Linked DNA regions of Drosophila melanogaster. The protein of the gene in region 2 interacts with the protein of the main gene of each other region in a biochemical or structural test. Each region holds a gene or a part of one and is shown on either strand. Other genes may lie near its edges. The genes, in order: side and beat-Ia.

What was found.
Region 1: the proteins of beat-Ia (region 2) and side form a complex in vitro, tested with the Drosophila melanogaster proteins (one study listed by BioGRID).

Annotation. Positions count from the first base shown.
Region 1 is NT_033777.3:27,433,449-27,440,989, forward strand, and holds the start of side (sidestep), read right to left. Parts: upstream 4,035-7,541; 5' UTR 3,475-4,034; exon of another isoform or gene 2,742-3,474; intron 1-2,741. Other genes in the region: CG44290 (uncharacterized protein), read right to left, coding at 5,514-5,673, 7,408-7,457; CG43447 (uncharacterized protein), read left to right, coding at 6,959-7,156.
Region 2 is NT_033779.5:16,047,308-16,054,876, reverse strand, and holds the start of beat-Ia (beaten path Ia), read right to left. Parts: upstream 4,913-7,569; 5' UTR 4,167-4,912; intron 1-4,166. Other genes in the region: BicC (bicaudal C), read right to left, coding at 6,672-6,919, 7,148-7,569.

The DNA.
Region 1 (7,541 bases), on a different chromosome or scaffold from region 2:
GTACTCGTTTTGCCCATACCAAGTCGATGCCAATGTAACTGGATGGCCATGTTAATGCCCATTTCCAATTCAATTGGTAATGTTCATGTTGGCTCCATAGTTTCTATTGCATTAAGGGCCAATAAAAATTTACAAGCAACCTACACGAGATTTTCCCACCGGGGGGGGGGGGGAGGGCTTTTCCTCTGCTTAAGTGTGTTTGACATGAGATAAGCTCGTTTTTCCCGGCTCGCCTCATTTGTCTCGTTTACAAAGGCAGCCCGAGCAAATTGATAAATTATGGCACAGCCGCGGACAACGGCGCATTGAGATCGAAAGCAGACCAGAATTGCCGGCAATTAGCCGAGCAAAGGCAATTAGCATTATGGGATAAGAGGTGCCCGAGCCTAGAACAAGTCCATCGCCATCCAGACACTTGAGTTTTGGAAGCGGGGTCAAGGAATGCCAGATCCAACTGCAATTGAGACGTGTAAGGTCAACGAAAGTCTGGAGCTGGAGCCCACGAAAAGCCCAGGACCATTGATATCGATGCGTATGCAAATCACGACGAGCACTTTGGCGGCATTAGAATTACAAATATCCGTGGAGGGGATTTTCCACATTCGCCGGCCGCAAGGGCGACGATTGCTCGAAAGCTGCGACGTGACAACACGCAAATAAAATCGAAGCCTACCCATCATCCGGCAGATACGGCTCGTGGAAATAGATACAATGTAAATATGCAAAGTCGGGGCAAAATACATAAATCAGCACGTGGGGGCGATTCGCTGTGAAATGAAATGCAAACAGTGGCGAAAACCAAGATGCGGAAGCATAATTGAACTCTAAGTCGGAGCTGCGAAGGCGAAGCTCTGCAGCTCCAGACACTCTCTACTCATTAAAGGCAAATGCAATTTACGCCGATAATTTGCAATAATTTGCATACTACGTGCGGTTGGCGAAAGGGAGAGGGGCGGGTGGTGAGCGACGACATTTTCCGCTGCACCTGGAAAACCGACTCGCACAACCAGCCACCCACCACTCGCTCAATTTTCCCACTCAGCTTAGCCGCCCACGTTGCACTCTACGTGCTCCAGCTTTTTAATTGCACGGCTTAGCCGAGGCGCGTTGGCATTTTGTAAATTTCGTTAATTGGAAAATGTGCCAGGATTCATTTTCATCTATTTCCCAAATGCCCCGAACGCCATGCGTCGTGATCCCGAGCGGTGTCAGCTGGCGAACTCGGCTCAAACTGGATTTATTTTATTGCGGGCTAAATGGAATTTCCAAAATGGTTATCGCCAAAAGCGTTGCCATTCGCTTATCCTGCATGCAGGAGTCTCTTCATTATGCACAAGTCGCTCGCTGAATGTTTTCTACTTTCGGTTGCCATCCTGATTGTATTTATCCATAATATTTATCCATTTTGACGAAGCCCTCGAGGTGTGAAGCAATTGTTCGGGCTGCAGGATTTATTATGCATAAAATTGCAGCATAAAGTCAAATAAAATATGTATTGAAAGTTTTATTGTTTGGCAGCCGTTCTGCAGCAGCGATGCCAACGCTTTTCCCACTCCCACCATTTCCCTTTTCCCGCTCACATATTTGCACATAGTACACATTTCATGCGGAACTGACGCTTGTGTGACGCTAGCAGCATTTTGTTTAAAATTGAATTCCTTCAATGCATTTACCTAAATTTAATTCCTTCTCATGCTGCTGCCCCAAAACTTTCTGTTCGCAATTTTTGCCACGCTCCGCTTCGCTTGGTTTTGTTTCGCTTTGTTCGTATTTTCAACTTTGTGTGGGTGATTTTGAGTTCGCTTTATACCATATATGTACATACATATGTATATGCTCTGGGCTTCTATTTGCTTTAATGAAGCCGAACTCTCTGGACAGGCTAGCATATACATATATGGCATATGGCGTATATACGTGCCGACACTGGCTCAGGATCAGGATCGGGATCCTGGTAGGAGGGCTGTTGGCTTTGCAAATATCCTGCGGCTGTAGCGTTTATATGAGAGCTTATTATTCCCTCTTATATTTTGCCACTGGTTGGAAACGGAGCTGCGCAGTGGATTTTGTGATTTGCTTTTTATGTGTGCCACCATATGGGGCAGTAGCCAGGAATCCAAGAATGGGGCCACGCACATGGAAAACTCCCATGTTGGATGCAAGGCGGCAAGAGGCGCTTAGCGAAATTCATGCAAGGATTTCACTGGATTGTTGCCAAGGTTGCTCAGCTCGCAAAAAATATGCCGCTAAAAAAATGACGAGTGGAGTGAGTGGGGAGCAGGAAGTAGATTTAACGTTTTTAGTAATGGATTTATCAAGAAACCGTAGTTGAAATCTGATTCGGTACTGTCAGGAAAGAGCGAAGTGAATTCAACAAGCCAAATTTAATTGGGTAATAATAAAGAACTGGCTAAATATATGTTATAGTCTAAAAATATAATTCACAAGCAGCAAGAAAAATTCTACCAAACTAATGACTTTCTTGGCCTAATTTGTTTTCCTTTCCTATAGCAACGACATAAATCTCAGCTCTCAAGTGACCATCACAACAGCATTCCACTCAAAGATGAAAATTTGAAAGGCAAACAAATCTGTCCCATAAGCAAACCCCGGCTGTCTGTGGATCCTGGCTAGCTGGCTGGGATCTGGATGGGATGGGATGCAATGGAATGGCATTGCGAATTGAAGGCGCAGCTTCCGGAGCACGGACTTATGGCTACAAATCAGAAGGACCAACTTACCCCCGGCTGCTCTTTGGCTTTCCCTGGCTAGCTAATCCAAAGGACAGAGGAACTTTCAAGGCCTTCCAACTGGCAAGTTTAATTTATGTTTTTGCTTGGCCAACAGATAGAGAGCAAAACTTTTGCTGCTCGCAGCTATTGTTCCAATGCACTGACCCGTATTTGCAAAGATGTCTGCATAAGCAATTTGTATCTTGTATCTACTATCTTTGTATCTTGCGGATGCTCCGATGCACTTTCACTTTGCCCCGCCAGACGATGGCAATTGTGATAAATTATATGCCACGCGACCGATCGGATTGGATCGTTTCATATCAGATGGGAATCATAATCAAAACCGAAGGGGGCAGGCTGTACGGCCGACGAACTGTTGCGCCCACTCTCACACACACACACACTGATATACTCATATATATACTGACCACTACAAATGAAACCGCAGTGTGTTATTGTGTCATTAATTTGTGCGCTCTCTTTGTGTGGGAATACTCCTTTTTATTGCTGCTTTTTTTGGCGCTTAAAGTGCGAAAACTGACTGGAATTAATTGATGATCCGCACGCAGCTGGAGTGCGGTATTGGTATTGTTGGTTGATTGGGAAATGGAAAATCGAAAATGGGAAATCGTTAATGAGGCAGAGTGACGCGTTCACATTTCCATATGATTTAATGATTTACTTCGGGGGTCCTTCTATCTGCTCTACTACGCACTTTTACGAATTTTCCGCAACTCACTTTTCAGTCTTGCTGTTTGTTTGCCCGCACTTGGAGTTTCATTTTCATTCGCATTTTCCGCTTTCGGCTGTTATTGCTGCTCGTAATCCGCTTTTGCCCTAAATTTCGATTTCCTTTCGCTTTTTTTTTTGCACTGCAGTTATTTCGAACTTCGCTTTTTCCAGTTCTCTTCAAGTGTTTTGATAACTTGAGTGTATTATTATTTTTCCGGCACGTTGTGTTAATTCGTTTCTTCTTTTTTTTTCGTTGTTGTCGTTGTTGTTTCTGGTGGGCGGTAGGGGCGCGGCACACGAAACGTAAACGATGCGCAGCACTTACGGCGCTCGAGAGTCACGCACAAATGGTCCGCCGCCGCCTCCTATTCCTCTAATTAGCCACATAAATTGCAAGTTGGCCAGGGCCAAAAGAATTCAAAACACACTGTCTAGAGAATCGCAATCCCTGCTGAGTAGTGGTGGCAATAGTGGCAAGCGCCAGCAATGGCACAGATATATGTAGCCAAACACGCTATCGATATATAGAGCAGCACCCGCACGACGAACCAAACGCTGTGAGCCACGGATAAGAACTAAACAACATTCGCAGCTGCCGCTGCTCGGCTGCTGCTGCTGCTGCTGCTGCATGTTGTTGCTGCCGCTCGTTGCTGCTCGCTGCTGCTGCTACGGGGTAGCAACACATGCCGCATATCATTCACGATTTTTCACTTCGGACGGCGACGAGCTTCGGATCACGAGTCCTGCCGCGCTCTCTCGTGCCGCATGTTGCTCGTGCGAGTCCTCGTGCAACATGCGGCCAGGACGTGACCTTTGGCAACTGGTCGAGTGTTGTTTTGGCTCTCGGGCGCGCTTGCAGCCAATTAATGGGCCACTCGCCATGTGATTTATTGGCACCGCTCATAAGTCCCCCCCCCTCTTTGCCCAGACAGGATAAACAAAAAACACATGCATAATTTCCATAAATCTTTTATGGCTGCGTGTAAAAACTTTCGGCTGGGCCAATTATGCGGACCGAACTAGGCACTAATTTGACAGCAAAGTGCCCAAAAGGCTTTATCCCTCCTTGGGGGTCAGCCTAGGTCAACTCTGGCCACCCTCCACTCCGCCGTCGTTCGAATCGTGTCCATAACTTACCACATAATTGAGTTATCCCCCGGTTAGGGGCATGAACAAGCTTTTGTTGTCGTCCTGGCGAAGGATTATCAATGGCCTTTGAGCATTTACTATCGCCCGGTGGTTTTGCTGCTTGAATTGCTCAATTTTGTTCGGGCTTTGATCTGTCGTAAGCTGTGGGTAATGATGCACTTAGCCATTATTGGTTAATTTTAATTGGGCGTGTGACACGCTTTAGACGCTTAAGAAATGTATGCATGCATGGCATCCTGTTTCAATTCTAGGAGTTGTAAAATCGATTAAATGAATTAATATAAATAATAAATTAAATAAATAAATTCTTAAGTACTCTGGTATGCAAATAAGCAAATCAATATATTTACTTAGGGTTAATAATACGTTGATTGAAAATAAGAACAATTACAGCTTTCCATGGTAAAATGAACTTATTTCCCCTTTTAACTCAATTGCCCTTAGGCACATGCAACATGTTGCTACAACACATAGGAATGTTTCAGAACAATTCCATTATTCCGCTCTCTCGCAGCATTGTTGCGTTCGTTAAGTGTTGAGGGACAATGATGAAAGCAACATTTGCTAAGGAAACACGAATATGTTTTCAAATTGCCACATAAAGAAGAAAAGTTTATTGAATATAATTGGTTCATATTTTTAGAAGTTAAATTTCAAATTCAATTAATATACATCCTTTCTCTTGTTATGTTCTTGCTTTCTTTTTTAATTATAAATGAAACTGAAAACTATAATAAAATAAATTCAACTAGCTTATTTTAAATACAACTTTTTTCCAAAACTTGTGAACTCAGTGAACTCAGCTTCCGGCTGGCCATAAAAATATTCGCCACTGTTGGGAAATGGGAACAGATTGTCGCATGGTAATGCAGTTGCACCTGCCAAGCTGTTGCACCTCTAAGCCACCAAGCCACCCAGGGCACTTCGATGGCAGCTCGGCCTCCACTTTTCCCGGGGCATTAGCCTTTTATGCAGCAACGTTGATGTTGCAGCTTCAGCTGCTCGCCCGCGGCAACCTTCACACCTATGCACATGACGCACTCGTATTGTATGGCCACTGCAGAAGCAGAAATGTTAGAAAATAGAAAGAAAATGGCATAGGAAAAGAAAAGAAAAGAAAAGCGCAAATAGGATCAAGGATAACAAGGGCATAACAAATGCAATGCAGGCAAGTGGCATGGGAGCATTGCAAATGCTTTTAAAGCAATACTTGATGCCAGCTGATTGAGTGACTAATGGGCTGGCTTTTAACCGAAGGAACCCCATAAAGGAAGTTTCATTGGGTCACGATGGCTAATTGGCACGTGCTCGCACCCCAAATGCTCCACTAACTCACTTTTAGTTTCAATTTTCATACAAAATATACATGTAACTGAAATGCAATACGTTTTCACCCCAAAAATTTTAATTCCATTTAGAAAATGACACATATTATTTATATTTTTCAATTAGAAGCTTTCCAAAACTTTCCCCAAATTAAATTTGCTGTAAATTAATCATCATTTCAGATATTTCTTTTCGGTGTGGCTATGACATTTGTGCATTTGTCTTGCAGTGGAAATTTGTTTGCCGAGTGAAAAAACCTAGCTTATTTCATTTTAATTGCTTCACAGTCGCAGGACTCGGCACACACACACACGCGCACTCAAAAGGAGAGAAAGAGGATAAGACACACACACAATCAACTAATGCGGTTGTGTGCCATCCTTTTGTCGGGTTGTGTGTGTGCTCATTAAAAAGCGAGGCAGCTACGCAGAAAAGCGACATTTGCATAAAATGCCACTGTGTGTGTGTGTATGTGTATGTGTCCCGAAAGCTGGAAAAGCGTGCCACTGACACACAACTGTCACTCACACGCACTCAGACACAGGACTCTCCCACACACACAAACAAAGTCAAAACTTGCAAATTTTAATGCATCACAAGATTTCAACAACTTCCCATGTCTCACAAGCCGAAAAATCATCACCAGCAGGCTCGTAGCTTGAAGCTGGAAATAAAGAAAATCTCCCACTGTCATGTCACGTGCCTTTTCCCTTCCCCACTGCCATTTCCATGGCCTCCATGGGTTGAATCTGTTCGAGGCACTCATTAAAAGTGCCTGCCGTTTTGGCCCTGGGGCAGCCAGAGTTTTCTGGTCTAATGAAGTTTCCCTTAAAAGGATGGCCCCCTAATCGGACCGAGACCCCGCTATTTCCAGGGTATGTTTGATGTGCGCCACTTGACTGCCGTTAAATTGTCGTTTCCTTTTTTACGCAGCAAGCTGCTTGAATGATTGACAGCTGGACATTGTGGCTGAGTGAATAACTCACAGGCCGACAGGCCGACTGGCCGCTTGATTTATGGGGGCGTGCCCCGGACAGCCGTGCTTTGGCGCTCAATTAAAACGGAACCAAAGTCAAAAGTCACCGAGCGATATGGGAAGCCCACGGAGTCCTAGTTCTAGCTGCGATGGATTAACACATCTCCCGGGGCAACATCTCTCCCGGCGACAACCCTCATGGCAAGGTCTTTTGCTCGAAGGCTGGCCTGTCATATAAATCAAGCATAATCAACGCGAAATGCGGCTTGACTCTCCATAGATGGACTCCGATGCGAGATTCCCGGATAAGCTGCACTCGAAGAAAAAGGGGGTACGCTATCTATCGATGGGAATATTGAAGGAACTCAGTATAGGTATATAGGTAACAATTTGATTATGACTAACTTATGGTCATAACTATCATCTGTTCATTTACTAAATAAATATCAAGCTATTTATTATTGTTGAACTATGGCCACTAGAACTCACCCTCTTTTCTCACTGTGCACGAGAGGGGTGAAGACATCCGCGGGGCGCATAAATCTAAATTACACTGAACCACCAAGGGGATTGCGGCTGCGAACTACAAGTATGAGGGAAAGTCGGCTCAAGATCCAAATCTC
Region 2 (7,569 bases):
AAGGTTGATATGATAAAAAGTCAATTATTTCCTCTCATTCATTTCATACAACGCAATTTCGTGTGGGAGATTTTGATTTTTCATTTCAAAAGTGAAGTATATAAATTCTGAGAGAGTCATGCAATCACAATAATCCTGATTCCTTCATTTAGAGCAATTTGCAAAACAATCATAGCAATAAATATGTCCAGTCATCCCTAACAATTGCCATGACATCTGCTGCTGTTGAGTCTGTTGCCTTTCACAGATTGCTCGATTACCAAACAACTACGAACTACGATTACAATGGCAAGTAAATACATTTTTAAAACCACCAAGATAGATTGCTGGCCAATGCAAGCTAAATCAAAATGGGTTTGCTGAGTGGAAGGGACCGATTAAACCGCTTTAAGCCTTCAAAGGCATAAGGCAAGGCACACACACACACACACAGATGGCGATGGAGTTGCACAGAACTTGTGAAAATTGGTAAACAATTTATGTGGTCAAATAAAATTGCACCGAAGTGAAGCAATGCAGGAGCAGAAAAGACAGACACCACAACAGGAGCAGAAACAAATTTATGACCGCTCAGTCCAATACCAGAAAACTAGCAAAACTTCCGCCACAGAAAGAGGAATATTTTGCAATATGGGCAGAGGCGCAGTTGCTAAACAATTGCGAATCCCCGATATTTTGCTACAGAATTTATATCCTTTTTTTAAATTCCATGTATTATATAACTGTATTTTGTATAAGAATATGCTGATTAACATTATAACTAAAAGAAGTTCATGCTCCATAAGTTATATAAAAACATAAGCGGCGTGGTAGGTGCCCCCGATATTCTCCTTCATAATTTTCCTGCCCACGCTCCTGGGCATCGGCAATAACTGCATGATGCAGATACCAAAAACCCAGGAGAAGCCCCAAAACTGAAGTGAGTTTGTAGAGGGGGAAAAGGAGGGACCATTCAAGGATATAAATTACATGCTTAGCTACTCGTAGTTTCCCTATCCCGATGCGCCCGCTCATATGCAAAAGTTTTTCCCCATTTCTTTTTTTTTTGTGCCGTTTTGGATTTTTGTTGCAGAGATTATGAAATAAATTTCCACATGCCACAACATTTTCGCAGCCGCAAAGGAACAACAAATATGCTAGGTACAGATACTTCTCCTACCCCTGGCAAATGTTGCACTTGAGATGCGCCTTTAGCACCAAAAAGTAGAAAAAGGGGCCCTAGATTACACACACACTGCCGCAGTCGAGGGAGCCACTCGAGATCCTTGAAATTGGAGAACTAGTGACTATGCCAATAACAACAATGGATTTGCATATGAGATATTTTTCAATAGCCCCAAGGTCTTGTGTTTGCCCATGTTTTCGTACTTGTTGGGGCGAAGTTTGAGTCGGTGCAAGATTTGTGATGCGGCGGAAAAAAATTTTTTCCTCCCGACAGTAAAAAATTTGTAAAGTTCTATCCATTCATATATCACAAGAGATAAGAATTAAAACTAGGAGTGGTGCAAAAGTTTTTCGCGAGAAGTCTGTCTGCTTTTAAAATTTGACGGAAATCTCAAGTCGCTTTAAAGTTCGATTCCAAGAAATTGGCACATAAAAAAAATAGCTCTTTGATTTTTGTCCTCTATCTCAAATTATAAATATAAATACATAATATACCATGATCCACTTAAACAAAGTAAAGCTTTTTTATCGAAATTATATAAATTATGATATACAATTTTTGTCTATAAATCAAAATTCATATTTACACAGGATAAGGTAAGTAGTTGGATTTATTATTCCATTTTAAATTCTCATCTATTTGTTAACAGAAAACTAATAAATAAAATCGGGGCATGATTGGATAAACATCTATTTATGCAATAAATATTAAATGCAAGGCAGAAACCAAGACTAATTCAGTTATGCCAATACTAATTGAATAAATCCTTGGCCATTTAACCAGCTTTTGTAGATCAAAGCTCAAGTGGGATAACGAAGCCATAAATTTGCGAGCAAATTCCTTTAGGATTAGCACAACTCATTGGTTGAGTATACACGCACATAATCAGCTTAAACAAATAAGTGAAAACTAATAAGAAAACAGAATTTCGGGGCACTTGCCGAAAAACTAATTAACACCCACGCCTAGTTAGGTTCCTCTTTTTCGCATTTTCGCCCGAATTTCGGAGTGCCTCCGCTCAGCGTTCTTTTTCATAAGCCACAGCACTTGCAGCGCCACCAAATAGTTAAAAAAGAACGAAAATAAAAGATCCAGGCTATAAGAGAAATACCTGGTCGAGAGAAGAATGCGACACCGTTGCAGGTGGCAGTAAAAAATGGCTGAAATTTCTCCAGCTCAACAGCGAACTGGCGAAAGGAGCCGCCGGTCATCCGAGGCTCAGATCAGGACACAGCTCATTAAACGCCGGCCACAGTTTACCTCTCTCGACGGATATTACACGGCCAAAATATAATACGAAGAGCTGTCACACCATTTATCAATGCCAATATTATGCTGTCCGTTTTATTTGAATAAAATCTATGACAATATTCAAAATTTGAACTAAGCGCCAGGAAGTTCGGTGAACACATTGTGCTATTTCAAAGGATTTGATTTTGGTTGGAATTCATAATCTCTGGGTTAGCCAAATTTTTAAGCTTATGCATGTAAAATAATACGAATCCAAAAGGGAGCTCATTATACTGTAACTTTGGTAATGGGTGACAAACTAGATGAAAATAAGCTAGTAAAATAATTCGGAAAATTTTTATATTTCCCTTTAATAATGACTTATGACAAAAGTTTCGTAGATTTCTGGAAAAGTATGACATAAAGTTTATACGCCTTTTATATTCCTTCTCATTAAATAAGCACTTTACTTTTAGGAGAGTTAGTCAAAATGTGTAATAACTCCTTTTAACAGATTTATTTATTTTTAACTCAAAAATCCTGCCGGAGTTTATTTTTTTACAGTGTGCATCTGTTTGCTTGGTCCTATTGTTATTTTTAAGCCGGTCGCAGGATAATCCGAAAAGGCTGGCGACGACTTAATGTGCCCCTTGGCTGTGCTAAATAGCTTTCATTATTTACTTTATTCTCCCATAAAGCGTGCGAAAAAGTTTGGTCCGAGCCATTTTTACAGAGCTGTGGAAATTCCACTGCAAAAACAGAGCAGGATATGGAAAACTGCAGAGATAGACTGGGAAATAAATGTTCCTGCTCGGCTGGTTAAAGGTTTTCTCGTTTTGTTTCGGAACTTTTCCGACTCAGCTGTTTGTGGACACTTGCCAGCACTTTTCTTCGTCCTTCGCCTTCGCCTTTTCCTCTTCCTCCTCCTCCTCCTCCTCCTCCTCCGGCGGCAATAAATCATTTCACATATCAATCAGTCAATCAAATAAATGTTTGACTGCCGCCCAACTGACTGCCCCTCCCTCATCCGATATTGATTGTCCCACTAAATACAATTTTTGCCTAGTCAGTGGGTTGCTCGAAAGTGAGGATGAAAACTCTGCCAGGCAGTTGACATTTTCCATCAACAAAAAATGGGCAAATCGAAGCAGCTAGGACTGAGCTCAAGACATTGTTGCCTAGTTCCCCAGCAACTATGGGAAATGTTTACCAAAAAAGGATGAGCCCGAGGTCCCGGAGACACGCTCCCTGGCAATTGACAAGTTTTGTTTGCCTGTTGGATGAGACGGGCACGCCCTTCTGTACATCTTCCGGCTTATCTTCCGCTGGCTGGGATGTGAAAGGAAACCCCCGGAATCCTCAAATTGCCTTGCCAGGAGCAGGGACATGGTGCATCAAAATTAAACGTCGCAGATTGCGATATATGAAATTACAGAAGCGCAGAGGATGCTTCAAAGTTCGTGAAAGGTTGATGCTTTCGCTGAACTGGCTTATGAGCTGTTACTCAAACGTTATTTGCATTCCCTTGCAAATAATATTCTCAATTATAAACTTTATCAACTATTTTTCTACAACTCTGTTGTGAAGCAAAATTAAAATATTAGTTTTTCAAATTTCAAATGTTAAAAAACTGTTTTTCTTTTAAATAACATACGCTCTTGTGCGTTTCTAGTATACGAGTCTAAATATTCGTAATCATATCCCAATACCCTTCCTGACATCATATCCCAAAGCATCAATTTGTGTCAAAGAGATTATAATGTATTCCTACCTTCAGGTTATTTGGGTAAATTTTCTCTCTTATTATTTTCTTGTACTTTCAATGCAACTGGCTAGTCATATTTCACATGTGAGTATAAGGTTTTGTTTTTTTTGCTTTTTGGTTCTCTCGCTGCGCACAATTTGGCAAACAATTTTATTTTATGCAATTTTCGGTTGATTTATCAGAGAATCCTTTAAGGCGCACCGAGCAAGTATCCTGTCCTGGCGAATGGGGATTTGGTTGTTGGCTTTGGCTGCGTGGCTTCTTGTTGCTCCTTTTTGTGCCCGCCTAAGCCGTTCACTCCTCCCGATTCTGCTGCTTCCTCGTTCCTTATCTCATTTCGCGTATCACGGAGCTCGTTAAAATCACCTTAGAACACGTGACTGCACAAACACACTCGCACTCACACACACACATGCACTGGTGGCGACGAAGCAACAGCCTTACCCACACACACACAGTTTGGGACTATCGCAGATCCTTCGTCGGATCCTTTTCCCTATTTTCCGCCTTCTGTTTTGGTAAATGCTATGTCAGAAACACAAAAACTGCATCTCGCACACACGCACGCCACAGCAAAAATTGGGTTCAGTCCTGCGGTTTCAGTGCAGTTCAACCATTTTTTTTTAAACAATTTTTTCTGTTATTTCCGATGCTCGTAATACTGCGAAAATTGAAATGATGATCTACGCACGTCCTTACGCACGGACAACGCAATGTAAACTGCAGCAGGAGTCGAAGGATTCGCGACACTGCGAGTCCTGTGCACAGATTTCCCAATTGGCGAATGGCCAACGAAGATGGTTCGGAGAATCCGACGTCCTTCATCGGAAAATCACGAATGGAAAAGCGAGGAGAGAGAGAGAGAGAGCACCCGTGTGGTGGGTTTCTTATCCATAAATGCTTCTATTGCTAACTCTGCTTGGTTCCCCTTCCACTGCTTGATTTCCCCTTCCCACTGCTTTGCCTAAGAGAACTGCTTCGTTTTGACTGCTTGATTGTACTCACCACGACTGCCACTTTAAACGGCAACTTACTGTGTACAATATAAAAAAACCAATTGTAACATTATTTTTAAATTTAATAAATTTTTAAATTTTAAATTTACTTTAAATTTTTTAAATACATGTTAGAGTTTAATTACAAGACTTCGGAAGGTAAGTATGCTTAAATAAGCATATATTTTAGAAATACTTCTTCCTGTCTGAGTGTACGGAAAAAGTATATGGAAAGTAAATTTAACGTGGTTAATTCAATTTTCAACTTCTTTCGAAAGAAATTTATAAAAATATATATATTTTCCTACTGTTTTTGAAAGGCCGAGGAAACACATACTCAAATTATACTTATGGCCACTTAACTATGTCCTCCCATTACACAACACTTCCTCTACTTAAAATGGGACCAGCATTGACGAATGGAGGCCGAAACTGGCGACTCTCGGGCTGGTCAGTGACTCCACTTGGGATCCAAATTCAAATCCAGCATAATTGTAAATCAAGCCGCTTGCCAAAATGTCCCGCAAAAGCCCACTCGAAGTACTTAAGTGGAGCATAGCCCCATGTAGATGACCACCAGACTGGGACTGAGATGGCTGCAGAAATTAGTTGCCATTGGCAAAGGCACTTTGCGCCCAAAGTGTCATAATCATAAAAATTTGCAATTATGCTGATGCAACACGGTAGCAACCACCGGCAACTGGAGCAAAACATTTCCAGTTCATTAGCTCAGCCACGCCCCTTTTGCCGCCCGTTTAGTTCGTGTAAGGACACACATTCGATTTTGTTGCTTTGCAAGACTTCTTGGCACGAGGCGAGGCAATACAAATTATGCAGACAACTGGAGACAATAAAGTCATTAACCTCTATTCCAACCAGGCTAAAAGAGTTCAAAGCGGCAACGACTTAATGTACATATATTACAAATGTTTCTACAAAATTAAGCAAATCATATTAATCTAATAATCTACTAAAAAATATATTTAGTTGATTTTTCATAGACATCAATTTATTCATATCAAATGTTTGTGCGTGACTATTTTGCTTATCACTTAATACATGCTGTGCTTTTGTTTTTAATTTTTTTTTCTTTTTCAGTTAGTTTACATAAATTCATTTCTTACAACAAGTGATTTCGTTTAGTTAGATTTCATAAATAATTCACAATATTTTTTTTTTTTGCTTAAGACGGTTTCCTATATAAATAATTTCAAAATAAATTAATCGCTTAAAATAAAGGCAACTACGACCTATTGGCACACTGGGAAAACTGTGCACTTTCCCGAGCGCAGCTATGCTACTTGGAATTTGAGTACAAATGCGAGTATAAGTCAAGGTCAAGGCTGTGTTGTGCGGGAAAGCTATTCGCCCAGGGAGTTGCCATTTTCTTCCTGACTTCTTCCTATACTTTTTACCGTTCCGATTCTCTTGATCTTACGACTACCAAATAAATGGGCATGCAAAAAAAAAAAGAAAAAAAGAATTCGAGGCAATGGGGTCGAACGACAGGAGCGGATCACCACTGGTTGGAGGGACGGCGCTCTGCGCCTGGGGCCGCACTTCCGGAGAATCGCGGCGACGAGGAGTTCTGCGAGGAGCTGCTGCTGGGCATTGTGCTGCAGGCCGCCTCGTTGGCCAGCAGCGTGTGAATGGCCGTCAGCAGCTTCTTGCGAGCTCCAAACGCCGCGATACCCAGCTCCATCAGGTTTTCCTCGGTCAGGGTGGTGAACACCTCCAGGTCGATTTCGTTTAGAACGAATATTTCTGAAAGGAGAAATAAAAACTGTAGTTTTCCCAGGTTGTAAATATAAAATAGTTTGATTTTAAATGCTATATGGATGTTGAACTTTATGTAACTTTATCTATGACTGTGAAAAAACGTTTGCGTTAAATAAAACACTCTCCAGTTCAAGCCAGACATATATGATAGCTTTATAAAAGACTTCTAGTACACAGTTGGTAAAAACGGACATGATCGGCGGAGCTACTCACTGATGTAGTGCTCCAGACCCAAACTGGTGAGCAGAGTCTGGATGTCCTTGTGCTTGGCTAGCTGCATCCGTCGGTTGACTGGAGTGGCGTCCAGGAGTCCGGTGGTGGCACTCAGTCCGTAAGGGGAACCCAGTCCTGGTGGCAGCCGCCACCCACTAGATGCTCCTCCACCAGCAGCCCCATTTTCCCCGTTCTCCAGCGGGGCAGGGGCGGGCGAGGTGCTGCTCAAGCCCATTCCCATCCAAGCGGTCGTGGGTGTTCGCAGCTCCCCTGCCACCGGGGTGCGCTCCATGGCTTTGTAGCCCAGGGCCCGTTTCATGTCGAAGTCAAAGGCACGGTGGCCGGAGTGCTTGTTTCCTCCAAGGTCATAGTGCAAACTCCGATAGCTCTCGGCACTGCCGGGCAGGAGGTGGGCTCCTCCG